3 linked regions of the Mus musculus genome follow. The main gene of each other region encodes a partner of the protein of the gene in region 2 in a complex. Links are inferred from orthologs where the notes say so. Each region holds a gene or a part of one and is shown on either strand. Other genes may lie near its edges.

The links. Proteins that work in one complex are often made in the same cells at the same time.
Region 1: Taf13 (region 2) and Taf11 share a complex: the UniProt entries of both Homo sapiens proteins name them as parts of the TFIID basal transcription factor complex. The link is inferred for Mus musculus from reciprocal best matches to the Homo sapiens genes TAF13 and TAF11.
Region 3: Taf13 (region 2) and Taf9 share a complex: the UniProt entries of both Homo sapiens proteins name them as parts of the TFIID basal transcription factor complex. The link is inferred for Mus musculus from reciprocal best matches to the Homo sapiens genes TAF13 and TAF9.

The regions. Positions count from the first base shown.
Region 1 is NC_000083.6:27,904,943-27,909,191, forward strand, and holds the start of Taf11 (transcription initiation factor TFIID subunit 11), read right to left. Parts: upstream 2,803-4,249; 5' UTR 2,730-2,802; coding exon 2,559-2,729; intron 469-2,558; coding exon 320-468; exon of another isoform or gene 239-319; intron 1-238. UniProt on the Homo sapiens protein: The TFIID basal transcription factor complex plays a major role in the initiation of RNA polymerase II (Pol II)-dependent transcription.
Region 2 is NC_000069.6:108,578,197-108,581,707, reverse strand, and holds part of Taf13 (transcription initiation factor TFIID subunit 13), read right to left. Parts: coding exon 3,495-3,511; intron 702-3,494; coding exon 531-701; 3' UTR 1-530. UniProt on the Homo sapiens protein: The TFIID basal transcription factor complex plays a major role in the initiation of RNA polymerase II (Pol II)-dependent transcription.
Region 3 is NC_000079.6:100,649,923-100,654,144, reverse strand, and holds the start of Taf9 (transcription initiation factor TFIID subunit 9), read right to left. Parts: upstream 2,803-4,222; 5' UTR 2,728-2,802; coding exon of another isoform or gene 2,700-2,727; intron 2,539-2,699; exon of another isoform or gene 2,428-2,538; intron 1-2,427. Other genes in the region: Ak6 (adenylate kinase isoenzyme 6), read right to left, coding at 2,700-2,727. UniProt on the Homo sapiens protein: The TFIID basal transcription factor complex plays a major role in the initiation of RNA polymerase II (Pol II)-dependent transcription.

The DNA.
Region 1 (4,249 bases), on a different chromosome or scaffold from region 2:
AGAGGCCAGTTTCCAGGCCCTCATTCCTTCTTCTACCACGCGGTTTCCCAGGATTAAACCCTGGTCATTAGGTTCGGTGGCGAGCAGTGGTGAGCACCTTTCCTTGGCATCTTGCTGGCCTGAAACTATATCCAGGCATAGCAGCTCATGCCTATGATCTCAGTACTAAGTAGGCTGAGGCAGGAAGATCAGGAGTTGAAACCTTTGAGCTAAGGGCTTAAGTCTCATGAGCCCTTACCTCAAAAGCACACAAAAAAGCCAGTAAGCATGAATGTACAGAGTGGAGTTAGAGCCTGGACTGGGGACCTCTGTGACTCACTGCATCTTCTGAATCTCATCTTCGTCCACCTTCTGCTTCTTCTCCTTCTTGTCCTTAATGTCTAGTTTCAGCTTTTTGGCTGCAGGAGTAAGTAAGGACGAGTTTTCCCTCTCGGCTGCTGTTACATCTGAGACATCCTGACTCTTGAGCTGGAGAGATGGACAGAAACTCTTATTATGTACTCGGCACACTTCTCAGGTTTGGGAAAGGCCAGCAAACACCCTCCTCTTTCCAGCCCAGCAACTCTGTCTACGCAGTAGCTATCTAGTTCTAGGCACTGCCTATACCATCTGCATAAGAGGCAATCCATCTCTCCAAGGAAGATTATACTCCAGCTGGGAAAGAAAATAAATAATCCGCTGGGTGGTGGTGGCGCATGCCTTTAATCCCAGCACTTGGGAGGTAGAGGCAGGTGGATTTCTGAGTTCGAGGCCAGCCTGGTCTACAAAGTGAGTTTCAGGACAGCCAGGACTACACAGAGAAACCCTATCTTGAAAAACCAACCAACCAAACAAACAAACAAAAAACAAAAAAGAAAATGAATAATCCATTTCCCAGCCTAGCCATGATCATACAGAGGTCCTGCATCTGTTTACACATTACGAGGAAAATGCCAAGGATCCAAACAGCCACTCTCCCTCGGGCCCACCCTTCTGACCTCACTCCATAGATGTCAGTACAGTCCCTTCCATGTGTGTCTTGGGAGCTCCACACTGAACAGAGCTCTGTTCTTCTGATCCTTTCTCTACTGGATCACGAGATCTTTCCCAATACTAGAATACAAATTTTATTTATTTTATTTTTTTAAATAATTTGAGACAGAGTTTCTATACATAGCCCTGGCTATCCTTGAACTCTCTCTGTAGTAGTCCAGGCTGCCTTGTACTCAAGAGGTCCACCTGCCTCTGCCTCCAGAATGCTAGGCTTAAAGCTGTGCACCACCATGCCCAGTTCGGAAGCTTTTTTTTTTTTCCTTTTGTAATTTAAGACAAAGTCTCATTTTGGATTTTCAGCTTGTGGAAATTATAGACTTGTACCATTATATTGAGTTTAAACTAAAAACTGCAGAAAGCTCAGAGGTTAAGAGCATTGGCTGTTCTTGCAGAGTATCTAGGTTCCATTTACCAACACCCACATTTCAGCTCGCAGTCATTAGCAACTCTAGTTTCAGGGGATCTAATGCCTTCTTCTGACTTTTACAGGGAATGTGCCAGGCACATTACACGGCAAACAAAAATACACAGGCAAAACATTCATATAAAAAATATTCTTAAAAACCCACAATTTTTCAGTTACTACGGACATTCATGTGTGTGGGTTTGTAAGTGGACAACTTTGTGCAGATAGTCCGCTTCTACCTTAACGTGGGTTCTGGGGATCAAGCACCCTGACCTGCTGAACAATTTCGCCTGCCCTAAGCTAAAAACGTCTTCAAGATGTTTACTATTTACATTTCTCCTCACATAAACACTTAACCGTTTTATTCACAAGAGTGATCCAAACTCTGTCCTAGCCAACTTACTATAAAATCGTAATACATCAAAACTCATTAATGAGATTTAATGGTTCCTTTAAAATGAAAGGTATGTCGGGAAGTGGTGGCACATGCCTTTGATACTAACACTTGGAAGTCAGAGGCAAGGGGATCTCTGAATTCGAAGCCAGTGTGGTCTATAGAACCTGAGTTCCAGGTTAGCCAGGGCTACCCTGTCTCGAAGGAGGAGGAGGAAGAAGAGGAAGAAGGGGAAGAAGAGAAGGAGAAGGAGGAGGAGAAAGAAGAAGGAGGAGGAGGAGAAGAAAGAAAGAGAGGGAGAGAGAGAAAGAGAGAAAGGAAGGAAGGAATTCATATTTAAACTCATACAGAAATATGGAGAGGGGGAGAGAAGGCATTATCTATCTGACAGCCTTTCTAACTTACTTTCCACTATTGATCTACGCGTGTTTCTAACCTTTGTGCTTCAGATTTTCAAATTTATTTGTCCTTAACCATTTTCTCCTCGTCTTTTATCTTCTTGTCTCCTCCACCTTCCTCCTCAGCCTTCCCCCAAAAGGAGCTGGAGTACAAGCAGGCCTGAATAGGGCTCTAACAGCACCTACACCTTCCCGTTCCCTCTCCTGCCCCTCAAGGTTGCAGACTCACAAACAGTCGTGGGGGAATTCTAGTTCCCTGGCTTTGGAAGAAAGCAGTCAGGAGCGCACCCGGGTAGTCCTGCAGCGTTATCCACCAACTTCCACCTACCTCGCTTTCCTCCGCCGCGGCTTCTTTCAAGTCCGCGTCTCCATCCCTGTCGGTTTCCTCCGGGATTCCCTCAGTGTCGGCTGCCACCAAAGCCCCAGGAGTAGCCCTCGTCTCCTCTGACTCCCCTGGCTCCCCGCCTTTGTCTGTGGGCGACTCCCCGAGGTTGTCCATCGCGAGAGCAGGGGGTCAGAGGCGATGGCAGCACCGCCGGGAGAAGGAGCTGTGGAGCGGAGCTGGAGCTGAGGGCTCGTCGTCGCGCCGCGATGACGTCACGCCCACGGATCCTGGGAGGGGTCACTTCCAGAAGCGCGTTGGTTGCCCAGGGGATTCATATAAACGGAATTTGTTTTAATGTGAAAGAAATGTAGAAGTCTAGATCCTCCGCTTCAGGGCAGAAGCGTTTTTGAAAGAGCGTAATTCGTTTCCCGAGAGACTTCTTTTTCCTTCTTTTTCTTCTCCTTCCTGGGAATGTAATGCCAATTAACCCTTCTTTAACTTTACTCCTTCAGCCCAAAGTCGGGGAACAGGGAGAGAACTCGGTCCCGCTGCTTGTTGTTGCCGTGGACTGAGCAGCTTCCGGCAGCGACCTAACCTCGGATTTCCCAAAGAACTAAGACCACCGGCTTGTGTCCACCAGGGAAGTTTCCCTTCTGTTTCGCAAGCATCTCTAACGCCAACAGAAAGTATCCAATGGTTTCATTTAACACTTCAAATATTGGCCACCTGCCTCGCGTCAGAACAGGCTAGTGTTGTGAGGGAAAAACAGAAAAAAAAAAAAAAGTCATCCTTTCCCAATTACATTTCCCTCCTTAGTCCACCAATATTAAAAATTGGAAATGGTTCCCCAAATCTGACTTTTAAAATGTCTCTCATGACAACTAAGAGAAAGAAGGTCTCTTCTGACTTTTTCTGAAGAGTTAGTAGGATGGAGTGCGAGGATAGTGTCTGTTAAGAGTTCTTACATTTTTTTTTCATGTGTATGGGTGTTTTGCATGTAAGTCTGAGCTCCACATGCGTTCGTGGTACCCTGGGAGGCCAGCAAAAGGTGTTACATCCGCTGGAGCTGGAGTTACAGACTGCTGTGAGGCGCCACAAGTGATGGGAATCAAACCTAGATTCTCTGGCAGAGCAACCAGTGCTCTTAACAGGGAACCACCTCTCCAGCCACCCCCGTACTCCCTCCCCCCCCCCCACCTTTTTTTTTCTGGAGAGAGGGTCTCACTATGTAGCCTTGGCTAGCCCGTAACTTGCTTTGTAGATCAGGCTGACCTTAAACTCACAGCGATGCAGCCAGCGGCTTCTGCTTCTCGACTGCTGGGACAAATGGCAGTTGCCACAATGCCAGTCTAACTGCAGAAGTAAAACTCTCAGGTCTTCCCTCCAGGAGGCACCAGAGGGAGGGATTTTTCAAGTCTGGTTCTAGATCTCCGCGCCTATCCCGTATTGAATCTATGCGTTTTGAATGGAGTTGAAAACAGAGGTACGCGTTACCCCCTTTTCTTTTGTTTCTACGGTGCCAGGAACAATGACCGCATTTCCAGTGCCATGAGGTCCCAAACCTTTGGGAAGGCGAGCAGTTCGGGAAGCTCCTGCAGGCGTGCCGCCTCCGATCTCCGCCACCTGGCGAATGGGCGGGTCCGCTAGGCGTAGACCGCGCCTGCGCCAGGCTCGGCTCCGCACACCGAGGCTCC
Region 2 (3,511 bases):
AAGCTTTACAGTCATCAAGGAAGACGAGGACTGCTAACACTTAGCAAATATTAGTTTCTTTTAAAAAAAGTGTTCTTTAGAAAAGAATATTAAAAACAAATGATCTATTAAGTCAAGAATTTCGTTTCTTAAAAACCCCCACAAGCCAGCTCATTCTCTTTAATAACTCCCCCACCACTGTCCTCTAAAGCCTTGAGATACACAGAGCACAGCCTCACCATTTATAAAATCAAAGGACATTCAGATTGTATGCTATGCAGCAATGGTATACAGCTTGGAACACACACGTCTACCAGAAGAATAAATACTACTTCCACCCTTTCGGGTGGAACCGCATGGTTTGCAATGCTTTAACTTAGGAGTTATTAAAGCCAGGAAGCAATTCAGATATGGTCAGATAAAGACAGGCAACGGAGGCTCCAGTTGAAGACCTCTTTCATTGCATACCGAGCTATCATGTTACTGCAGACAACAACTTCAATGTATGGCTTCCACAGAAAATACCAAAATCTCGGGAAGTACGAACGGTGTCAAGATCCATAGTTGGCTTCGTCAAAAGCTTTTCTAGCCCGTTTCAATTCTTCATTCATAGTTAGTAAGTCTTTAACTCTAGCAAACTTCCTTGGATCCTTTCGAATTAGGAAGACAATATCTTCAACTTGCACTCGACCTTGTCTTCCAATCGACATTGCCTTGTGAGTCTATGACAAGGAAACACATGAATTTTTAAAGGTTAAATATTTTTGTGTTTTAATTTGCTGTTAATCGCGCTGGTGTTTACATTTGTGAACCATCTCTCTGGTCATATCCTTATCCCTTTTATTCCTTTAGGATTTATTTATTTATTTTATGTAGGTGAGTACACTGTCTTCAGACACACCAGAAGAGGGCACTGGATCCCATTACGGATGGTTATGGCCACCATGTGTTTTTTGGGAATTGAACTCAGGACCTCTGCAAGAGCAGTCAGTGCTCTTAACCACTGAGCCACCTCTCCAGCCCTCCTTATCCTTTTTTTTTCCATACTTAGCAGCATTTTCTTTATGCTTTATAGGCTTTTTTTTTCATTAAGGACATTAAAACTACCAAAGTTAGCTGGACAGAGTGATGTACACTTTTAATCCCAGCACTTGAAAGATCGAGACAGACAGATCTCTGGGAGTTCAGGATAAGCCTTGGTCTGCACAAGTTCCAAGTCAGCCAGAATTATATAGTAAGACCCTGCCTTACTGACAGAGAGACAGACAGACAGACAGACCAGAACAACAAAACCTAGCAAATTTCTCTCTCTCTCTCTCTCTCTCTTTTTTTTTTTTTTTGGTTTTTCGAGACAGGGTTTCTCTGTGTAGCCCTGGCTGTCCTGGAACTCACTTTGTAGACCAGGCTGGCCTCGAACTCAGAAATCCGCCTGCCTCTGCCTCCCAAGTGCTGGGATTAAAGGCGTGTGCCACCACTTCCTGGCTTTAATGCAATACTTATATGGGAGAAATCAATATGTATGTATACACTTATACAGTAGAAATAGATATATATGTATAAACTGACAACACAGTTGCTTCCTGGTATGGGAAGTTTTTATTGTAGATATGAAAGACAGAACAGCCAGAGGCTAAAACCTAGCAAATTTGAAGATACTTCTGTTTTGTTGTATGATATATGTGAAGTTTTTTGGTTTGGTCTGGTTTTCTTCCAGGAGGTTGTCTTGTTAAATGTTCTGGGGATGGCTAATGAATAGGTAATAGAGAATAGGCAAATAATATCAATTAGGCTTTAGTAGGCTGGAAGGAAGGAAAGTTTATGGAGGCTAAATAGTAAGTCTGATCCTAAGACCGCTTAAGCCTTTTATATCAAAATCTATACTTGGAGATACAACGGTAATATTTTTTTTGTTGCTGCTTTTTTTTTTTTTTGAGACATGTTTTTGAGTTTCACTATATAACCTAGAACTCACTATGTAGACCAGCCTAGCCCTGAACTCAGACCAACTTGTCTCTGATTCCTGACTGTTTTTTATTGAGACAGGATCCTGGAATATAGGCTAGTCTCAAACGAGGCAATCTTCCTGCCTCTGTTACAACTTCTAGAATTAAAAGCATGTACCATTATGCTTGGCTTTGGTTTTGTTTGTTGAGACAGGGTCTTACTGTGTAGCCTAGCCTGGTCTTAAAACTGGGGTCCGCCTACCACAGCCTCCTGAATGCTGAGGAATTCTGAGCACACTGAAATGACATCTTCTCATGCCTGGCTGCTTTTTTTTTTTCTGTTTGTTTGTCTGTTGTTATGTAGCTCTGAGTAGCCTAGAACTTACTATAAAAACCAGGTTGGATTTTTTAACTTGTAGTAGATCCTCCTGTCTCTCTCTGGAATTCTGGGATTACAGGTATGAGCCACCATGTCAGGCTCTGTCATTTAATGTGGTGCTGGGGGCTGAACCCAGGGCCTCACACATTCATATTAGCATGATCTAGCATTGCTACAGCTAATGTTTTCCTTGAGCTGAGTTAAACTGGATTAAATACTTGCCACATGTGCAGGCTCTTGCACACACACCAACCAGCCTCTGCCCTGGCTGAGTAATCTTTTCACTTTTATTCTGTAGTAAGGAGATAGCCCAAAGCAAAGGGTGAGCACTCATAAGAACTAAAAACAACCAAACTCAGTAACCCCATCCCTGCTAATACAACCACACAAAGGAAAGGAAGAAAACCATAAAAGTGGCCATCCAAGATGTTAGACTGGCTGCTTTGCCAGAGGACCTGGGTTCAGTTCCCAGCACCCACAAGGCAGCTCACAGCTGTCTGTAACTCCAGTTCCAGAGGATCTGACACCCTCACACACACACACACACACACACACACACACACACACACACACACACATATATGCAGTAATTCAATGCACATGAAATAATTTTTAAAAATCTCAAAGGTATTACATGAACTGTATATACCTTTAAATAAATACTAGAAGAAAAAGATCTTAGGCTGGATGAGATTATGGGCAGTACTTTTAATTTTACTTAAGGATATTATGCTTTTACAAATAAAACTCAGGGGCTGTAGAAACATGCCAGTCCTTAAGAACATTGGGATCCTTCCAGAGAACTGGAGTTCAGTTCCCAGCACCTGCAAGGCAGCTCACAAGCATCTGTATCTCCAGGTTCAGGGACTCCAACACCCTCCTCTGGCCTCTGAGAGAACCAGACACACACACCATCCACAGACATACCTTCTAGGCAAAACACCTGCGCACACCAAGTGAAATTAGATAAATAAATAATAAATAAAACAAGCTCTGAAGCACTGGGATACATTGATGTGATATTCAGAGTAATGGCAAATAGAAACCAGGAACTTGCACAAAGCAGGCACTCTAATGGATAGCTTATTTCAAAAGTGCTAGTGTTGTCTAAAGGTTACACTTCAAATCTTCAATTAACTAACAGTTACAAAAATAACCACAACAGAGAAGTCATAGTTACAAAAGCGTCTTACCATTTCAGTGATGAACT
Region 3 (4,222 bases), on a different chromosome or scaffold from region 2:
GTCAGCCATCTTCTGCCCTTAAGGTTCTTAACTGATATAAAGCCTGGTATGGTGGTGTACGTCTTTAATCCCAGCACTTGGGGCAGAGGCAGGTGAGAGTCTCTGGGGCTTCAAGACCAGACTAGGCTACACAGTGTCAGGACAGCCAGGGCCACATAGGAAAGCCCTATCTCAAAACCAAACCAAACCAACCAACCAAAAAATTCTCCAGAAATTACTGTCTACTAGTGTCTATATCCTAATCTCCAGGGATAGGACTGCAGCAATTTTGATGCCAATTCTGCCTGCCAACAACAAAATTCCCAGCATAAAATTAGACACCTTGCCGGGCGTGGTGGCCCATGCCTTTAATCACAGCACTCGGGAGGCAGAGGCAGGCGGATTTCTGAGTTCAAGGCCAGCCTGGTCTACAAAGTAAGTTCCAAGACAGCTTGAGCTATACAGAGAAACCCGGTCTTAAAAAAACAAACAAACAAAAAAACAAAACAAAAAAATTAGGCACCTCAAATACACTATTATCACTTATTGCGTTAATAAAAAGCTTAAAAAACATTCAATGGGCCGGGCATGGTGGCGCACGCCTTTAATCCCAGCACTGGGGAGGCAGAGGCAGGTGGATTTCTGAGTTCGAGGCCATCCTGGTCTACAGAGTGAGTTCCAGGACAGCCAGGGCTACACAGAGAAACCCTGTCTCGAAAAACCAAAACCAAACCAAACCAAAACCAAAACAAACAAACAAACAAAAAAACCAAACAAACCCCCACCCCCCAAAAAAACATTCAATGGGGCTGGAGAGATGGCTCAGCAGTTGAGAGCACCAACTGCTCTTCCAAAGGTCGTGAGTTCAAATCCCAGCAACCACATGGTGGCTCACAACCATCCTTAATAAGATCTGATGCCCTCTTCTGGGGTGTCTGAAGACAGCTACAGTGTACTTACATATAATAAATAAATCTTAAAAAAAAAAATTCAATGGAAAAAAAGTTTAGTATGAGCAATACCATTACTACCATTTCCCCTAACAGAAATACCTTCCCCAGAGGGAGCTACTTTAAACCAGTTTCTTACTTAACTTTCTATGTGTTTGTGTGTATCTAAGGGATACTTGGTGTGTATTTAAGTAAGTGTATACATACACACTGTATATATCCACACAGCATAGATACCCTTATAAATGACACTATACATAGTTTGCTTTTCTCCTTTTACAGCTAATACCCTCCACTTCCCCCTGTTTTTGTTTTTTTTCGAGACAGGGTTTCTCTGTGTAGCCCTGACTGTCCTGGAACTCACTCTGTAGACCAGGCTGGCCTCGAACTCAGAAATCCGCCTGCCTCTGCCTCCCAAGTGCTGGGATTAAAGGCTTGTGCCACCACTGCCCTGCTTATAGCTAATACCCTTAAGACAATCAAATGCATAATGTTCAAACTTATGTCAACTTGAACATTGTAAGAAATCCTGAAAAATCATGTCTCTATAGTCAAAAAAAATATACTTCCACTGTAAGAACACATCAATCCCAACTCTTACTCAGCGCTCGTGAACCCTTTCTGTATTCAACACTCCCATTCAGATCTACAGAGTTCTTATGATGTAACTCTTGTCCGTCCCTCCCCACTGCTTTCCCCCCTCCCGCCAACCGGCACGGTTCTAGGTTGGCCTTTGACTTCTCATCCTCCCTAGTATTGGAATAACAGACATATGCCACCCCATCTAGTCTATGTTGTTCTGGGGACCTGATTCCAGGGCTTCCTGCCTACTAGTGAGTAGTCTACCAACTGATCTACAGCATTCTCTGCAGCCTACTGGCTTCAGAATCTGAAAGCCCCAAGAAACTGTCTGGCCATGCAAATCAGATATTGTAAAATGTTCCTAAGGAATCTCAAAGCTAAAGCCTGCAGAGCTAAGACAGACAACAACCTCACCTGATTCGTTACCTGACAAAACAGCAGCTGAACTTTTTTCAGTAAAGTGATGGCATCTTTATCTATATCCATCCCATCTTTGTACAACTGGCCTATGACGCTACTAAACGCTACAACTTAACCTTTCTTATTAAAGCTCCGAAACGTCCCACCCACGATCAGCTCCAGATCACCACAAACGCTCAGAAACCTTAACACTGAAACAACAACAAAGCCCGTGGCGCGAACCGAACAAAGTAACAGTTCATTAGTCACGTCTCTTCACAAGCATCCCAAAAATCATCTACAGAAACCTTTCGGGAAGTGTTTCTCAAAAGCAAAGGGGTATCTAAAAATAAAAAATAAAATAAGAAGGTGACGACCAAGAAGGCCCAAAGACTGGGGTACCCACCATCACCACATCTCCTAACGGCTAAAAACTGCCTCACCGCACCTCGATTTTTAAAAACCCCAAGCCCGACCGCGACAAAGGCTCAGCAGCCCGTTCTCCAGGCAAAGATACCAGATTGACAAAGGCCAAGCGTCCGGCGGAGCGACGGGGCAGCGGGAGAGCAGGAGCCGGCCTGCCGCTCTCCCTCTCCTCGGCGCGGCGTCTGACCAACCGAACCGCCGCCTCCGCCGCTTCCCCCGCCCCCCACCCCAACGGTCGCGAGCGCCGGGTCCTGACGCGCCAGCCGACACGGCACGCCGCGCGGCCTGCGGAGCGCCCCCGGGACCTCACAGCCCTCGGCAAACCCCGGCCCGGCCCGACCCGACCCCGTTGCGCGCCCTAACCGGTGAGCAGGATATTCGGAAGCTTCATAGTCCTCCTTCCCCTGCAGCCAAAGCCTCCGCTCACGCGCCCGCCCCGACGCGCTTGCCAGGGAGGAACCGGAAAGGGCGGGCGTGCGTGCGGAGGGGCGGTCTCGTGCGCCTGTACGCGGCTAGGTTCCCTCGAGGCCCTCCGCCGGGCTCGCACGCACTCAGACCCTACCTCGGCACGCACCAGGAACTCCGCTGGCCTCGGGTCCTACGCTTCCATCTAATGGTGGGAAGCCGGGCCCCGAGACCCGCCTGCGTTTCGGGTCAGGCAGTGCGCTGGACGCCTACGTCCCTTGCTCGCTTGCCGGCCCCTCCCCTCTGGCTGCGTCGCGGAAGCGCCGTCCGTGAGGAAGGTCCCCAGGAGGCGGGCCCTCCAACAGCCTGCGGCTGAGCCGGGAGGGCTGGGTGGCGAAGTACAGCCCCGGTTCTCCGCTTTTTTCCGCCCGCGAGGGGACGCAGCTCCCGGAAAGTAAGGACGCCGCGGCTTCCGCTTGATTTATTAATATCCCAGAGGCGTGAGGTCAGCTGTGTCTTCACGCATACCTGGGCTGTGTCCTTCCCGGCCCGCCCTCCAGTCTGGACTGGTGTAGGATGTAGGTGAGGAGCCCTGGCCTGGAGCCATGGTGCGAGGTGTCAGCTCCGCTCACTGGTGATTGCAGAAACACCTAAGGACTGACGTGTGAGCTTTGTGTCCCTGTCCCCTGTGCAGTGTGTGAGGTGGAGGTGGATAGGCTAGGGGTAGTGTTGAAGTTCTCGTTATCTCCGGCGCGTTTCCCGAGCCTGATATCATCAGAGACGGTTGTTTGTTTATCGAAGGAGGTGACTGTCAGTCTTGTTTTCAAAGAGCCCTGATCATTGAGCATCTTTCATTTCGACAACTATAATTTCTTAAGCAGACGTTTTTGTGTCCCTTTGAAAGGTCAGGCCATAATCCTAAATTAGATAGGAGAAGATGATTTGTTTTATTGGGTGCCAAAGTTTTCAGCGTGTGGGCTTGTGTGTACCTACAACTCTAAAATAGATGGGTGCACCTTCCAATATATACATTTATCCAAAGTGACTAATGAGTCTCATTTCATTTTTTCCCCCTTAAATTGTAAATCCACAGTACTTGGTAGCATGACATGAAATACAATTTTCAGCATAAAAATAAAAATGTTTATATGGGATTAGTTTTTCTTTATAATAAAAGGTAAGTGCACAAATATATGGTTTTTCTGTTTCATTCATCGTTGAGTTTTTTTTTTTAAGATTTATTTATTTATTATATGTAAGTACACTGTAGCTGTCTTTAGACACTCCAGAAGAGGGTGTCAGATCTTGTTACAGATGGTTGTGAGCCACCATGTGGTTGCTGGGATTTGAACTCAGAACCTTCGGAAGAGCAGTCAGTGAGTGTTCTTAACCGCTGAGCCATCTCTCCAGCCCCATCATTGAGTTTTTATGAACAGCTTTTATTTATATTATACCATCATAGATAGATTATCTGATTAAAT